Tamandua tetradactyla: one gene and its partner. The protein of the gene in region 1 purifies or fractionates together with the protein of each later gene. This does not show direct contact. Links are inferred from orthologs where the notes say so. Each region holds a gene or a part of one and is shown on either strand. Other genes may lie near its edges.

Region 1 (6,908 bases):
CAGAAGGCTTTCTGGCTTATTATATTTCTCCATAGTTACTTCTGCATTTTGCACAGTGCATATTATATTATCCTTCATGTGTCAAAGATGCTTTATGATTATCTTCTTGCTTTTTGCATCTAACCCCAACCCGACAATAGGTCTGTTGAGCAAAGTAGGGACTGTTCTCTTTTACTTTCTAAGGTCTGCAACTTGGAGCTCAAAAAGTGCTTATCAAATGGAAAAAGCAGGGTGTTGTAAGGGCCTGTTTCATAAGTCCTCATCTTTTGTTTTCACATTTAGAATATTCAGAGACACGGTAAACTACTTGAAAACCAATACTTTTTCATTGACGTAACTACTTTTGAAATGTTTAGGAGAAAAGACATTTAAATTCCAACTCGTTGCCTCTGAATGTCCCAAGAATTGGTTTTTAAAACAATCCTTAATATTAAAAATATTTCAGAAAACAGGAGTTGAAAAGGCTCAGCAGTGTGTTAGCAATTCAAATGATAACCACAAATTGATTTTAGTAGTAGAAATTGAAATATGACACCTGGAGCAGCATTTAAACTTGGATGTGTACAAACATCTATATCTTAGTGTCTGAGCAAAATCAACTTCAAGCTCATTTTTAAATATTCTATCTGAAAGACCTGCACCCAACCTTGTTAATGCACATTTTTTTGAACTGAGTACATAATAAAGACAATTTATCATTTTCATATAGAAATAAAAACATTTCATCTTTTACTACCAAGGTTGGAAGAAACCATAACATTTGAAAAAGAAGAAACACATGATTTCTGCTTTTTAAACAACTTGGGGAGTTAAGAGGTTGGATATATAATTTTAATATGCTATTTCCATATAGCCTCCAAGTTAAAATCGTAAACCCTTTCCCAATGTTAAATGAAGCAAAGCCATTTTTTTAGGGTCCTTATTTTAAACGTGGACAATTAGTCTTCACTGAGGTACAAGGCAAGTATTTTAGACCAGTAGAAATCAGAAATCCTTTGTTTAGCAAAGACAATAACTATGATTGATAGTTACACTAGTAATCTAAAAATAAAACAAGTTATTTCTGGTTTAAATGAATCAATGATTACGAGTATACTTTGTATCCACAATAAAGAAGTCTAAAATTTTTACATACTCTCTTTTTCCCAAAAAAAGAACGTAAGCTTCTGAAACAATCTCTCTACAAACAGGATTAAATAATAAACACTATCAACAAAATATAAATAATAACCCTGCTACTATAAAAATGCACACCAAAAGCCTTTTCTCACTAGAATCTTAAATACCCACATACTGGGGACACTGCAGTTTATTGATCTACATTTAGATCTTTTGGTCAGGTGTTGAAGCAGAAATATAAAATAATGTTACCGCATTCTTCACTAGCAAAGAGAATACCAAATGAGTTAAAAAAAAAAAAAAAGTCCTTTCTGACAAAATAACGAATTCCTTTTCTTCTCCTTTTCTAAGGGGGGGGGGTGGGGGGGGGAAATCCTCACCATAAATAAATAAATAATGCAAAACAGTTACCTCCGGCCTCTTTGATGCTGCACAGCTTGACAAGCCGTTTGCATAAAAATAATTCCCTTCAACTCAGGAAACTCGAGGATCTCAAGGCAATCTTGAACAATTTTCCAGTCTGGGATCACATAGTGAGTCACATCACTAGACAAGAGTTTCCCATCTGAAACATAATTCAAAAGTTAAGAGATTAGACCACATTTTCAAATCTGGTTTATTACTATTTCAATGTCATGGAGCCCTGGTGTGCAAAATAACTTCCAACCTTAACTACACTGTGAAGTTAAAAAAAAAAAAAAAGGACAAATCTACTTTGGTTGAGGTCCAAACTGCAGGTAAATTCAGCACCTTCAGTTTTCCAGAAGCTGTGATAAACACGCCGCTTGGTTTATGGTGTTGCCAGTTCTGCAGCGGGAGAATATGGCTGATTCTGTTTTTTCAAAAAAGCAAATGTTCAGCACAATCTGAATATTTCTGTCTCATCTCATCATCGACGTACGACCACATTCAAATGGGACAATTTCAAATGGGTTCTACTACAAGTTTTGGAACAAGCTCAAAAGTCTCTAAGGGGCGGAAGGATTGAACTGACCAGAAAAGATGCTCAGCGGCAGCAGTGGGCAGTGTCAGGGCTTGGGCACAACCCACGTTCCAGGGAACTGGTTAGCCAACCTGTCACTGAGGGCTTCACTTTAACCTCAAAACTGAGGATGGACCCACACACTCATTTTGCACCCGAGGCCAGAGAACCCGCAGTTCATCATTAATTCAGCCACCCTGGCAGCCCAGATATCGAGGTGGGCCGGGTCTAGCACACAGAAGTCCAGATGCAACCTTCCCACGGCCTTCCCGTACAACGACGCCACTCACTAAACCTACAGCGGAGAGGGAACAGGCTCCCCCGGACAGACGTCGGAGGGATCCGGGCTGGCCGGACGGGGCATTTGTAGAGAGCAAAGCAAGGAATGTTAGATGAGCAATGACCGGCAAATGTGTGCTCCGCGGCCACGGCTTTCCCGCAAGGGCTGAGCGCTCCCGGGATCTCCCCATGTCACACACACGCGCCACAGCCCACCGGCCTCTCCCAGCAGCCAGGTCACCGGCCTCTCCGCTGTGAGGACCCCCGGCTCTCGGCCCTTCGGGTTCACGAGGGGCTAGCGGCGCCCCGTTTTTAGAGCTCGGGAAGGAGTCTACCAGGGCCGTCTCTGCGGCTCTCAGCCCGCCCGACTCTCGCTCCGGCCCGCAGCGGGGCTGGAAGTGGTGCCTGGGCGCGGGCGGAGGCCCCGCGACGTCTGCCTCAGGCCCCCGCGGCCTCGCGCTCCGCCTCGGCCCTCGGCCCCGGCCCCGGCCCCGGCCCCGGCCCCGGCCCCGGCCCCGGCCCCTGACCGTTGCGGCAGGCTGCGGGCTGCGAGCAGAGCGGGCTGCTGCAGGGCACGCTGGGCCGCAGGTAATGCTCCCGCACGATCCGCAGCGTCCGGCCCTGGAAGGTTCTCAGGAGCAGCACCTTCTCCCGCTTCTGCAGCATGATGGCGGCGCTCAGGGAGCTGCAGGGGAGCCGCGGGCGCCGCGCAGGCCAGGCCGCGGCTCCGGGCCCGCCCCCTGGGCCTGACCGCGTGGGGCTCCCCGCCCGGCCGACCCGCGGCGGCCTGAGCGCTCCGGGCCCCGGAACCGCCCCAACGGCCCTGGCCCGGGCCCGGCCCCACCCCGCCTCAGTTTCCCTCCACCCCCCAATTACGCGGAGACAGGGAGGGGCGGGAACCACCCTCCCAAAAGGGTTTACTGGAGACAAGGGTAATACAGAGGCTGGTTTAAATTTATCGGAAGAAATATTTGCTGCGACTACAGAGGATCATTATGCCTCGTTTCTACCCCAGAGGCCTCGTGGAAAGGGAGTGTTAACATGGGATGATTATAAGTGTTTTCTGTTCAATGCTCTTGCTATCCCTATAAGCTAAAAGATTCAGCAAATAAGCTAGCCACGCTGCCAGTTCAACTTTTTTTTTTTAAAGATTGTATTTATTTTAGATATCATGTATTTTTAATACGTATAAAAATTCAAACAATGTAGATAAAGTGAAACTAATCCCTTCCCTTGAGCTAAATGCTATCTACTCAGGCCCAACATTTATGGCATTTGCAGCCTCTGGCAATGAAATTATCTTTTAAACTACTCCCGATATAATCACAATTTACATTTTTGTAGCTGTTATGGAGATCTTCTTCCAAGGATTGAACAAAAACTTTTGAGCAATATCAACAGCTTTACACACAAGTGTCACGTTCAGTTTCCACAAGTCAAAGGAGTTGGGCATCATTATCCCCATTTTATGACTAGGACGCTTAGGGAGGTTAAGTGGCCAAGGCTGCCCAATTATTAAATGGTAGAATCAATACTCAAACCAGAATCTGGCTGAATCCAAAGCAGGCTTTTAACTAATTACTGTGCTTTACAAGATGAATAAAATACAGCTTTGCCTCTAAGGAGTTGATGGTCTGCTTGGTGACTTCTAGTTAAGGCAGTTCAACCAGCCCGTCAGGAACATCAGAGCTTCTTATGATGCTGAAGTGAGCAGAACTGGGGGTACCCTTTACTTACTTCATTCTAGGGAAACATATTAAACAGAGTCATGGTCCCTCATATTTCTATCTCAAGTAATCTTGCAGTGTGGATGATGTGAGTGAGATCAGAGATGAAATACGTGGAATTGCACTCATCAGGGAAACAGCGCAGTGCTGGTCCACCAGCCACAGAACCAGGAGGGTCCATAAGGCAACCGACAAGGGAATCTTGTGGTGCAGGAGGCCCTCCCTAACCCCGAGGTCCGGCTTTAGAGATCCTATGGGACAGGCAAGTAGCCAGATTTGTCTGCATAAAAATGCTTTAGACATTTGTCTACAATTCCCTCCAAGGCTCTGTTATTTTCATTTTTCTCTTACTTTTGATTATATCAGAGAGGGCAGGGAATGTTGATTAGATATTAATATGTCCTTTATATCCTTTTTTGCACTTTGTAGCTTTAAACTTTCTCCAAATTGGGGCGATCTTTTAAGGAAGAGAGATTATCTGGGGCTTCTCTCAAAGTTGAATTTTTTTTTTCATATTTTAAATAAGCGCATCAAGTACTTCTTTGACTTGTGGCAATAATGTATAAATTATGTTTTTAAAAGCATGATTCCTTCGTTTTTGGAACTGATGATCTAAATGCACAAGAATGCCCTTTTGTTTGTTTACCTCACAGGCCATGTGCTGCCTCCTGCCTGAGAAAAGTGTCAGCATCAGCCAGGATAAGCTAGGTCATGCTGCAATAACATACAACCCCACAAATCTCAGTGGCTTAAAATAACATGTTTATCGTGGGTGCCCAGAAGCTCTGCTCTGCCCTCTTTCTTCAAGATTCAGGCTAATGGAGTTGGTCCTCTCTGGGATATTGTTTGCTGTCATTGGCAGAAGGGAGACAACCCTCTAGGGAACTTCACACTGGCAATTAAGATTCAGTCAGAACTAGTAGAACACATACCCAACACTGGGAGTTGGGTAGGGCAGGAAGTGCGTTCCCACCTGTGGCTTGAAGGCAGAGAGCTAAACCTTTTGGTGAAACAGCACTAATGATTACCTGAGCTTCCTGACTCAAACCCCTTGGCCCAAAATGAGTTAGTCTGCTCTGCTGTCCTCCTAACCCTTGCTGTTTGTGACTACTCCTCCTCAGCCCACGATTTAGTCTCTGCTTGGGCATTTTATGCTCATCTCTTTTTACTTACATCATCTGTAATCTTTATGACAATTGTCCAAGGTAATATGTGATTTCCTGTAGCAGAGACAGGCTCTCTGTTTGTTAAATTCATGTTTTCTTTATCATTATTATTTTTAAAATTTTATTGATAAAACTTAACATGCTGTGCCAGTTTGAAAAGGTGTACATACCCTAGAAAAGCCATTTTTTAATCCTAACCCATTTTGTGGGAGAAACGGTTTCTTCTAATCCCTATTCAGGACTGTATGTTGGAAACTTTAATTAGATGATCTCTATGCAGATGTGACTCAATCAAGAGTGGTGGTTAAACTGGATTAGGTGGAGATGTGTTTCCACCCATTCTAGGTGGGTCTTGATTAGTTTACTGGGATTCTGTAAAAGAGGAAGCATTTTGGAGAACGTGGGAGATGGAGAGAGAGCAGAGAAGAATGACAGAGCCACGAGAAAGGCACAGCAGAGAATGCTGCAGAACCACGAAGCAGAGTCCACCAGCCAGCGACTTCTGGAGATGAAGAAGGAAAACACCTCCTGGGGAGCTAGAGAGGAAGCTAGCAGATGACAGTGTTCACCATGTGCCCTTCCAGCTGAGAGAGAAACCCTGACTGTGTTCACCATGTGCCTTCTCACTTGAGAGAGAAATCCTGAACTTCATCGGCCTTCTTGAACCAAGGTATCTTTCCCTGGATGCCTTAGATTCGACATTTCTGTAGACTTGCTTTAATTGGGACATTTCCACAGCCTAAAAACTGTTAACTTGCAACTTATTAAATTCCCCCTTTTAAAAGCCATTCTATTTTTGGTTTATCGCATTCCGGCAGCTAGCAGACTAGAACACATACTAATATACAAACATTCTTAACATACGAACATTCCATATCTGGAATCAGTAGCTCACGAGATCATCACATAGTTGTGTATTCTTCACCATGATCATTTTTTTGAACATTTGCATCACTCCAGAAAAAGAAATAAAAAAGAAAAAACTCATACATACCATACCCCTTACCCTTCCCTCTCATTGGCCATTAACTAGTATTTCCATCTACCCAATTTATTTTAACCTTTGTTCCCCCATTATTTGTTTATTTTTTATCCATCTCTCCATACGCTAGATAAAAGGAGCATCAGACACAAGGTTTTCACAATCACACAGTTACCATGTTTTCTTTTTTGACAGACGCACAAATGAACCATGGTTTCCAGCCTTTCTTGCAGATAGGTGTGGCAATGTGATTGTGGCAGAATGTAGTGACACCATCTGCAGGCCTGACCTGTGAAATCCTCCAGTGCATGTTCCTCCTTCCTTTTCCGCTGGCTGGATGCCAATACCCAGGGGATCTTGGAAGGGTTCCTGAAGGACTGTGTGGAGCAGAGCCCTGCCTCCCTTACCCAGGAGCATCTGCAGTGGACTCTTTTATAAGGGAGAAATGAACTTCTATTACAGCAGCTAGCATTACCCTAACTCATACATCCCCCCTTGACAAAGAATAAGTAACTTGCCCAAGAATTACATGGCTATTTGCTTTAAAAACCCTCCCTAGATATTAAACGCCCTAATGAAACTATCCAAGGATTTCTACAGCAGTTCTAAATTGTACAGGAGGGAGGAGGCCATCAGTGGTCTACAGTGCTCTG
Region 2 (6,716 bases), on another chromosome or scaffold:
TTGCCTTGGTAGGACAGGGCGAGGGTCTATCTCAGTCTAGGGGGCAAATGAGGGGAGAAAACTGCAGTTGAGAATGGGTGCCTGTGGTATTTTAGGAGCCCAAAATAAATGGTTAAGATGCACTCCAGGAGCTCCTAGGGGAAGGGGGTCAGCCAGTCCAAGCTGTGGTCCAGAGGATATGGGAGAAGTCCCCTATCTCCATGGTGGATACCCAAGGCCCCTTGAATTCACCCTCAGCCCCTGTGCTTAGGGCTCTGGAAGCCAGGGCCATATCTGCTGGTGTGAGGATAACAGACTGTGTGGTCTAATGGCCTGGCTCATCCTGCCAAGGTAAGCTGCCTTGACCCCTTCCCGGCACACACTGTTCTCTCAACCCAGGGACCCCTCTTCTGGCCCAACTACATCTTCCTTTTCAGGGCTTCAATCCAGACACCCCAAGAGGTATGTGTCTATGAAGGGGGAGGGTCCTAGGTCACCTCCAGAAGCCAGCACCAGGGCAGGGAAGTGCTGTGAGGAGGCAGGGGATTGAAACACTGGGGCACATCCAGGTAGGGGAACAGGGCTTTATTCTGGGGGATGGCTGGGGGTCAGTCCCCCAGCAAGAGGGAGGCCTCCTGCACATGCTGCCGGACCACGCGGTCCAGCAGCGTATGCACGGCATGGGCAGCCCGAGTGCCAGCCTCCAGCACCTGCTCCAGGTGGTCCTCATGGAGCCGGGCATCCATCTCCAGCAGCGCAATCTGGCCTGAAGCTGGCAGCAGGGCCAGGGCCAACTGGGGTCCACCAGCTGCTTCCTCCACGTGGCTCAAGTCTGCCAGCGCTGTGCCATCCACAAACCCAGCTGAACAGGCACACACAAAGTCTCTCATAGGTATCCCAGCATCCAGCACTGCCAGCGTGGCTGCATTCACACAAGCTGCATAGGTCCCGCCATCTGCCTGCAACACCTGCCAAAGGGACACCAAAGCCATTTGTCCATGAGGCTGCTGACTCCCTACCCTTTGTTCCTCCTATCCAGGCTGAGGGCTGTTGCCTGCTCACTTGGACATAGATGTCAATCTGGGAGCGTGGGTGCAACTGTGTGAGGATGGCTGCCTCGAAGGTCTGGCGCAGCTGCAGGCCCATCTCATAGGACTTGCGGTCCCCATGTGGCCGTCGCTTGCGCTCACCGGTGCTGAAGGTGGCCGAACTGTACTGGCAGTTGACCAGCGCCCTGTCAGGTAGAGCTCGTGCCCGGGAGCCCCGGATCTGGGGGAAGGAAAGGCACATGAGCCAGCCCCCTCTTCCCAGTACACACTATCCTGTTCTGTGACTCACAGTCTTACCTCAGCTCTCTCTCTCCACCTCCAACTCTCAGCAAGGAGCACCTACATTACCTCCAAAGCATGCCCCCAGGAAAGGCCACTCCCCAGTTTCTAAGCCACTGTCTTCTCTGGCTGTGTATGCCTTAATTGGCTTTCCCGTTACCATGCTTCCTGACCCTGAGTATGCTTACAAATATCAAGTCTGACTCATTTCATGCTTACCTTTCAAAGGCTTTCCGTCAAACATAAAATAAAATCCCAAGTCCTTTCCTCTTTTGAAACCACTCAACCTCACTTAGAATTTATACCCTGTCCCTCACCTGCAGCCTTTGTGCCCTGCAAACATGCCTTGCTTGTCCCCACCCCTCCAGCCTTCATGTTTCTGATCCCATCGCCAGGGCAGCTGAGCTCCTAGACTCACACGCTTAAGCAGACATTACTTCGGTGCTTTCACGGCGGGCACTGTTCTGGCACTAGCGATAGGGCAATAAAACAAGTGGCACAAAAGTCCCTGTTCTTATGGAGATTACATTCCAGGGGAGGAGACAAACGATGAGGAGGTCAAAATTGATGTCTAAGGCGATGGGAGGGAAGGGGATGGGAAGTGTATGCTGGCAGGGGTGGGTATATGCCACGCGCAGACGGTGGTCTGGGAAGACGCGGCCCTGGGACGGCGACTTCGGAGCAGACCTGAGAGGGGCGAAGGAGGGAGCGGTGCAGCCGGGAGAGTACGGACGCCACCGAGGGCGAGCACTCGACACCTCAGACAACAGCAAGGAGAAGTGCAGGCCGCACGGGACGGGGGCCGACGACCACCGTGGGAGCGGAGGGGCGAGAGGCCCCGCGTGGCCCCAGTGCCCGCCGGGGAGCTGCCCGGCCCGCGCATTCCCACGCCCACTCGCCTCGTGAGGCCCGTACACCACCGCCAGCGCCTTGGTGTTGCCCTGTTCGATATAGGCGGACCCGTCGGCCTGCGCAAATACGCCCATCCGCGCCTGGATCTTGCGCAGTTCCCCAGCGCGCCGCCCGTCCACGCGGTAGCCCTGGTCCGACAGTAGCTCCAGCCCTGCCATGCCGACAGCCGCCCGCCCAAAATCCCCGCGGCGCGGAGAGCTACGGCACCCGTTTCCGGCCCCAGCGAACTACGGCTCCCGGCGGCCGCAGGTTCCACTTCCGGCCCCAGGAAGCTACAACTCCGGGCGGACACACCATTTCCGGTTCCGGGTAGCTGGGGGTCTTGACCCTGGGGATGGGGAGGCGGAGCTGCGGCGCTTTTGAAACTGGTCTCCCGCGGCTGCTGGTTCCCGGGCGGGGCGGGGCGGGGAGCCCCGACGAGGACGAAATCCCTCAGCCGCGTCCCCGCCCTCCTGCCCCGGGGGTGTGTCGCGGAAAGCCCTTCTCGCGGGCCCCGGGGCTCCGCACCTCCTGGTCTGCCCGCTGGCCCCTCGTGCCCCCGTCCGGCCCACCTCCGGCCCGACCCTCGGCAGCCTGGCTCCACCTTTCTTCTTTTTGGATGAACAACCTTCCTTAGCCAACTTCATCTGTTCGCTGTGTCGACGCCCCGCACGGGGCGGCGAGTGTGTTCTGAAGCCAGTTCTGCACCAGCATGAGTAGATTAACAATCGTCTCTAGCATCGACTTCGCTGGCCGGAGCCTGACCAAATCCTCCCCCCTCAGCCCCCGCGGGACGAGCCCCCAAACGCCCACTCCAGCTCTACCCCGCAGAAGAGGAAGTGAGTCAAAGCAGGTGGTTTGAAATAAAGTTTGTTTTTCCTTCTTCTTTTTTTAAAAATATGTGAGCCTGTTTTCCAAGCTCGGACAAATAGCGGCCGGCCCACAAGGGGTGGACATCCACTGGCAGGGTGGAGGGCCTTCTGCGTGCCCTGTCTCTGGATTCCCTTAGTCTGATGGGGGGCTTGTAAGATCAGTCCCTTGATCAGGAGCTTGTCTCTTTGTCTGTCTTGTTCAGTTTTGTTCACTTCAGGCTCCTGGTGAACCAGCAAAGCTCTTCACCACTGCCGTGGAGGTGGTGGCTATGTGTATCTCAGGCTACCTCTTCTTGTCCATAGCAAGTGGATAACCAAATATACCTTGCATTTCTGCCCATTGGGAGGTTTCCCTTCACCACTGTCCTTCAGCGCCACCCCCTCCCATATAGAAGGGCTGCCACGTGCAACAGGCCACCCATGACAAGTGCTGATCTGTCCCACTAGCCCACCTTTTTTTAATAATTTTTTTAATTTTTTTAAATATAAAAAAACCCACCAAATGAATGCAAGCATTCCTATTTTGATCATTCCATTCTATATATATAATCAGTAATTCACAACATCATCATATAGTTGCATATGCATCATCATGATCATTTCTTAGACTATTTGCATCAATTCAGAAAAATAGACAACAGAAAAAGAAATAAAACAAAAACAAAAAATTATACAAACCATACCCCTTACCCCTCCCTTTCATTGATTGCTAGCATTTCAAACTAAATTTATTTTAACATTTTCCCCCCTATTATTTATTTTTATTCCATATGTTCTACTCCTCTGTTGACAAGGTAGATAAAAGGAGCATCACACACAAGGTTTTCACAATCACACAGTCACATTGTGAAAGCTCTAGCATTATTCAATCATCATCAAGAAACATGGCTACTGGAACACAGCTCTACATTTTCAGGCAGTTCCCTCCAGCCTCTCCATTACATCTTGAATAACAAGGTTATGATATCTACTTAATGCGTAAGAATAACCTCCAAGATAACCTCTCCACTCTGTTTGGAATTTCTCAGCCTTTGACACTTTGTCTCATTTCACTCTTCCCTCTTTTGGTCTAGAAGGTTTTCTCAATCCCCTGATGCTGAGTCGCAGCTCATTCTAGGGTTTTTCTCAATCCTTTGATGCTGAGTCTCAGCTCATTCTAGGATTTCTGTCCCACATTGCCAGGAAGGTCCACACCCCTGGGAATCATGTCCCACGTAGACAGGGGGAGGGTGGTGAGTTAGCTTGTGTTGCCACTAGCCCACCTTTGAGTCAGATCTGTTGTTTCCTTCTCTGTCACCTGGCTGCTGGAAGAAGGCCATGGGTCAACGTTGATTGAAGAAAGGGTGTTGGCATGGCAAGTTACATGGGAGACTGGCCCACCTGCCAGTCATTTGTTCACATCTGAGCTGCTTGAGACAGGTAGTTGCAGGCGTCTCTTTTGAGGCTGGCTGGATGTTGACTGCACATGCCTGGCCTGTAACTTGGTGGACCAGAGACTGGCCAGGGTTAGCATTCACCATCACTTGTGTCCCAGGCCAGACCAGCAGTCTGCATGAGCACCTGCTTTTTTAAATTTAGACTACTCTGCTATGGGGGGCAGGGCCTTGCTCTGGAATCCTAGGGCTGGGCTCATCAGAGACTCCGTACTGCATCCACCCAGATATGTCCATGTTAGATCTGCCATGAAAAGTGAGTAGCCTTTGAGTTTCTTTACTAAAGGGCAAAGAAGAAAAATCATTCACTAAACCAGTGGCTGTATGTCAAGTACAGAGGTTGTGTGGATAAGCTCTAGTAAAGATACCACATTCAAAACAGTAGCTGTGATTAGGGTTACCACCTGCTCAAATTTACATCGGCCAGCAGGCCGTCTGCCATGATCCATTCGGTTTTCAGGATTACACAGGTGATTAGATGAGGATATGAGAGAGACCACCACCCCTGCCTCTAATTTCCCCAGGGTTAGGACATTGCTTTCACTTACTCTTCTGGTGGGGAAGAAACATTTTTGAGGCACTTCTACGTGTGTCTTCCTCTAATAAAGGCTCACCTCCACAGGTCAAGTAACCAGTGTGTGCGTCTTCCACCTTCCAGTTCTTTGGGGAACAAGGGAAATAGCCACAAAGCCCAAGAGCCCTTGGATCCACTTGGACAGATTTGGGGCAAAACCTGACCTTCATACATTCCCAATCTAATAGGAGAATCACGCTGATGCTTTGTGGGGCCCTTATGCAAACAATGTGATAGAAAATGTATTCAAATTCAGGGGCCACATGAGGTATAGTGACTTAGTGGTGAAAATTTAAGATAGTATTAGAAAAGAGGTAGCTATGCATTTGTTTATTGTCCAGTCAGTGCACAGAAAGGGTCTTTGTAGGGTCCGAGAACCATCGCTTCCTCTTCAGGTTCATTAACCATCATTTACGGTTTTTTATTGTTTATAATTATTATGTATCTGATGAACTGACCCTTTTATCATTATAAAATATCCCTCTTTGTTCTCTAGGAACATTTTCTGTCTTAAAGTCTGTTTTGTCTGACATTGGTCACTCCAGCTTTATTATGATGGCTGTTTGCATGGCATTTCTTTTTCCATTCTTTTGGTTTCATTCTATTTGTATCTCTGAATTTAAAATGTGTTCCTTGTATGGATAGTGTGTTTGGCTGGGGTTCCACCAGGTAAACAGAACCAGTAGGAGATACACGAGAGAGAGATGTATTGCAGGGAATTGGCTTACATGATTGCAGAGGCTGATGAGGCAAGTGCTAAATCCTAGGGCAGGCAGGAAACTCCCAGGCAGGATTTAATGATGCACTATACAGGCAGAATTCCTTCCTCAGGAGGACCTCAGTTTATCTCTTAAGGCCTTTCAACTGATTGGATCAGGTCACCAGAATTGTGGAGGGTAATCTCCTTTACACATAGTCAGCTGATTGTGGTTGTTGATCACAAGTATAAGTTTCTTCAGGGCAACACGTAGATTAGTGTTTGAGTATCTGGGTAGGATCGCCTATCTAAATTGACACAAAACCGACAGTTGTGCACACAGCCTATGATTGGATCTTGTTTATATATCCAGTCTGACAATCTGCCTTGTGATTAGATCTTTAGGTTCCTTCATATTTAACGTTATTATTAATATGGTTGGATTTACAGTGGCCATTTTGCTATTCATTTTCTCTATGTATTTTGTCTTTTTTGTTCCTGATCCTCCTTTATTGCATATTACATGGGTATTTTTAATGTGCCATTTTAATTCCTTTATTGATTTTAGCTATATTTTATTAGCTGTTGTCTTAGGAATTACAATATATGATTTAATTTATGGAATCTGGTTGTTTTTTTTGGCATGGTCAGACTCCGGGTATCGAACCTAGGTCTCTGGCATGGCAGGTGAGAATTCTGCCACTGAGCCACTGTGAGATATAGAAACTTAATTCCAGTGAGATATAGAAAATTTGCCGCATTATAGCTCCATCCCCTCCCCTCTTTGTGCTATAATTATCACATATGACACATCTGCATGTGTTACAAATAATGCTGCCCTAATGATCCTGCAGCCTACTGCCTGGGGTCTGTAAGTGTTATTTTATGTGCCATAAGCGCCTCAGGTTGATTGAAGCAAGGGCCTTGAGATGTGAAGGTGCC

The links.
Region 2: the proteins of DIS3L (region 1) and EXOSC4 purify together in Homo sapiens (affinity purification with mass spectrometry; 5 studies listed by BioGRID and IntAct, with this or other methods). This does not show direct contact. The link is inferred for Tamandua tetradactyla from reciprocal best matches to the Homo sapiens genes DIS3L and EXOSC4.

What each region holds. Positions count from the first base shown.
Region 1 is NC_135340.1:83,321,658-83,328,565, reverse strand, and holds the start of DIS3L (DIS3-like exonuclease 1), read right to left. Parts: upstream 3,087-6,908; 5' UTR 3,047-3,086; coding exon 2,908-3,046; intron 2,672-2,907; exon of another isoform or gene 1,870-2,671; intron 1,685-1,869; coding exon 1,531-1,684; intron 1-1,530. UniProt on the Homo sapiens protein: Catalytic component of the RNA exosome complex which has 3'->5' exoribonuclease activity and participates in a multitude of cellular RNA processing and degradation events.
Region 2 is NC_135332.1:82,575,930-82,582,645, forward strand, and holds EXOSC4 (exosome complex component RRP41), read right to left. Parts: upstream 2,489-6,716; 5' UTR 2,378-2,488; coding exon 2,207-2,377; intron 1,249-2,206; coding exon 1,042-1,248; intron 948-1,041; coding exon 588-947; 3' UTR 550-587; downstream 1-549. UniProt on the Homo sapiens protein: Non-catalytic component of the RNA exosome complex which has 3'->5' exoribonuclease activity and participates in a multitude of cellular RNA processing and degradation events.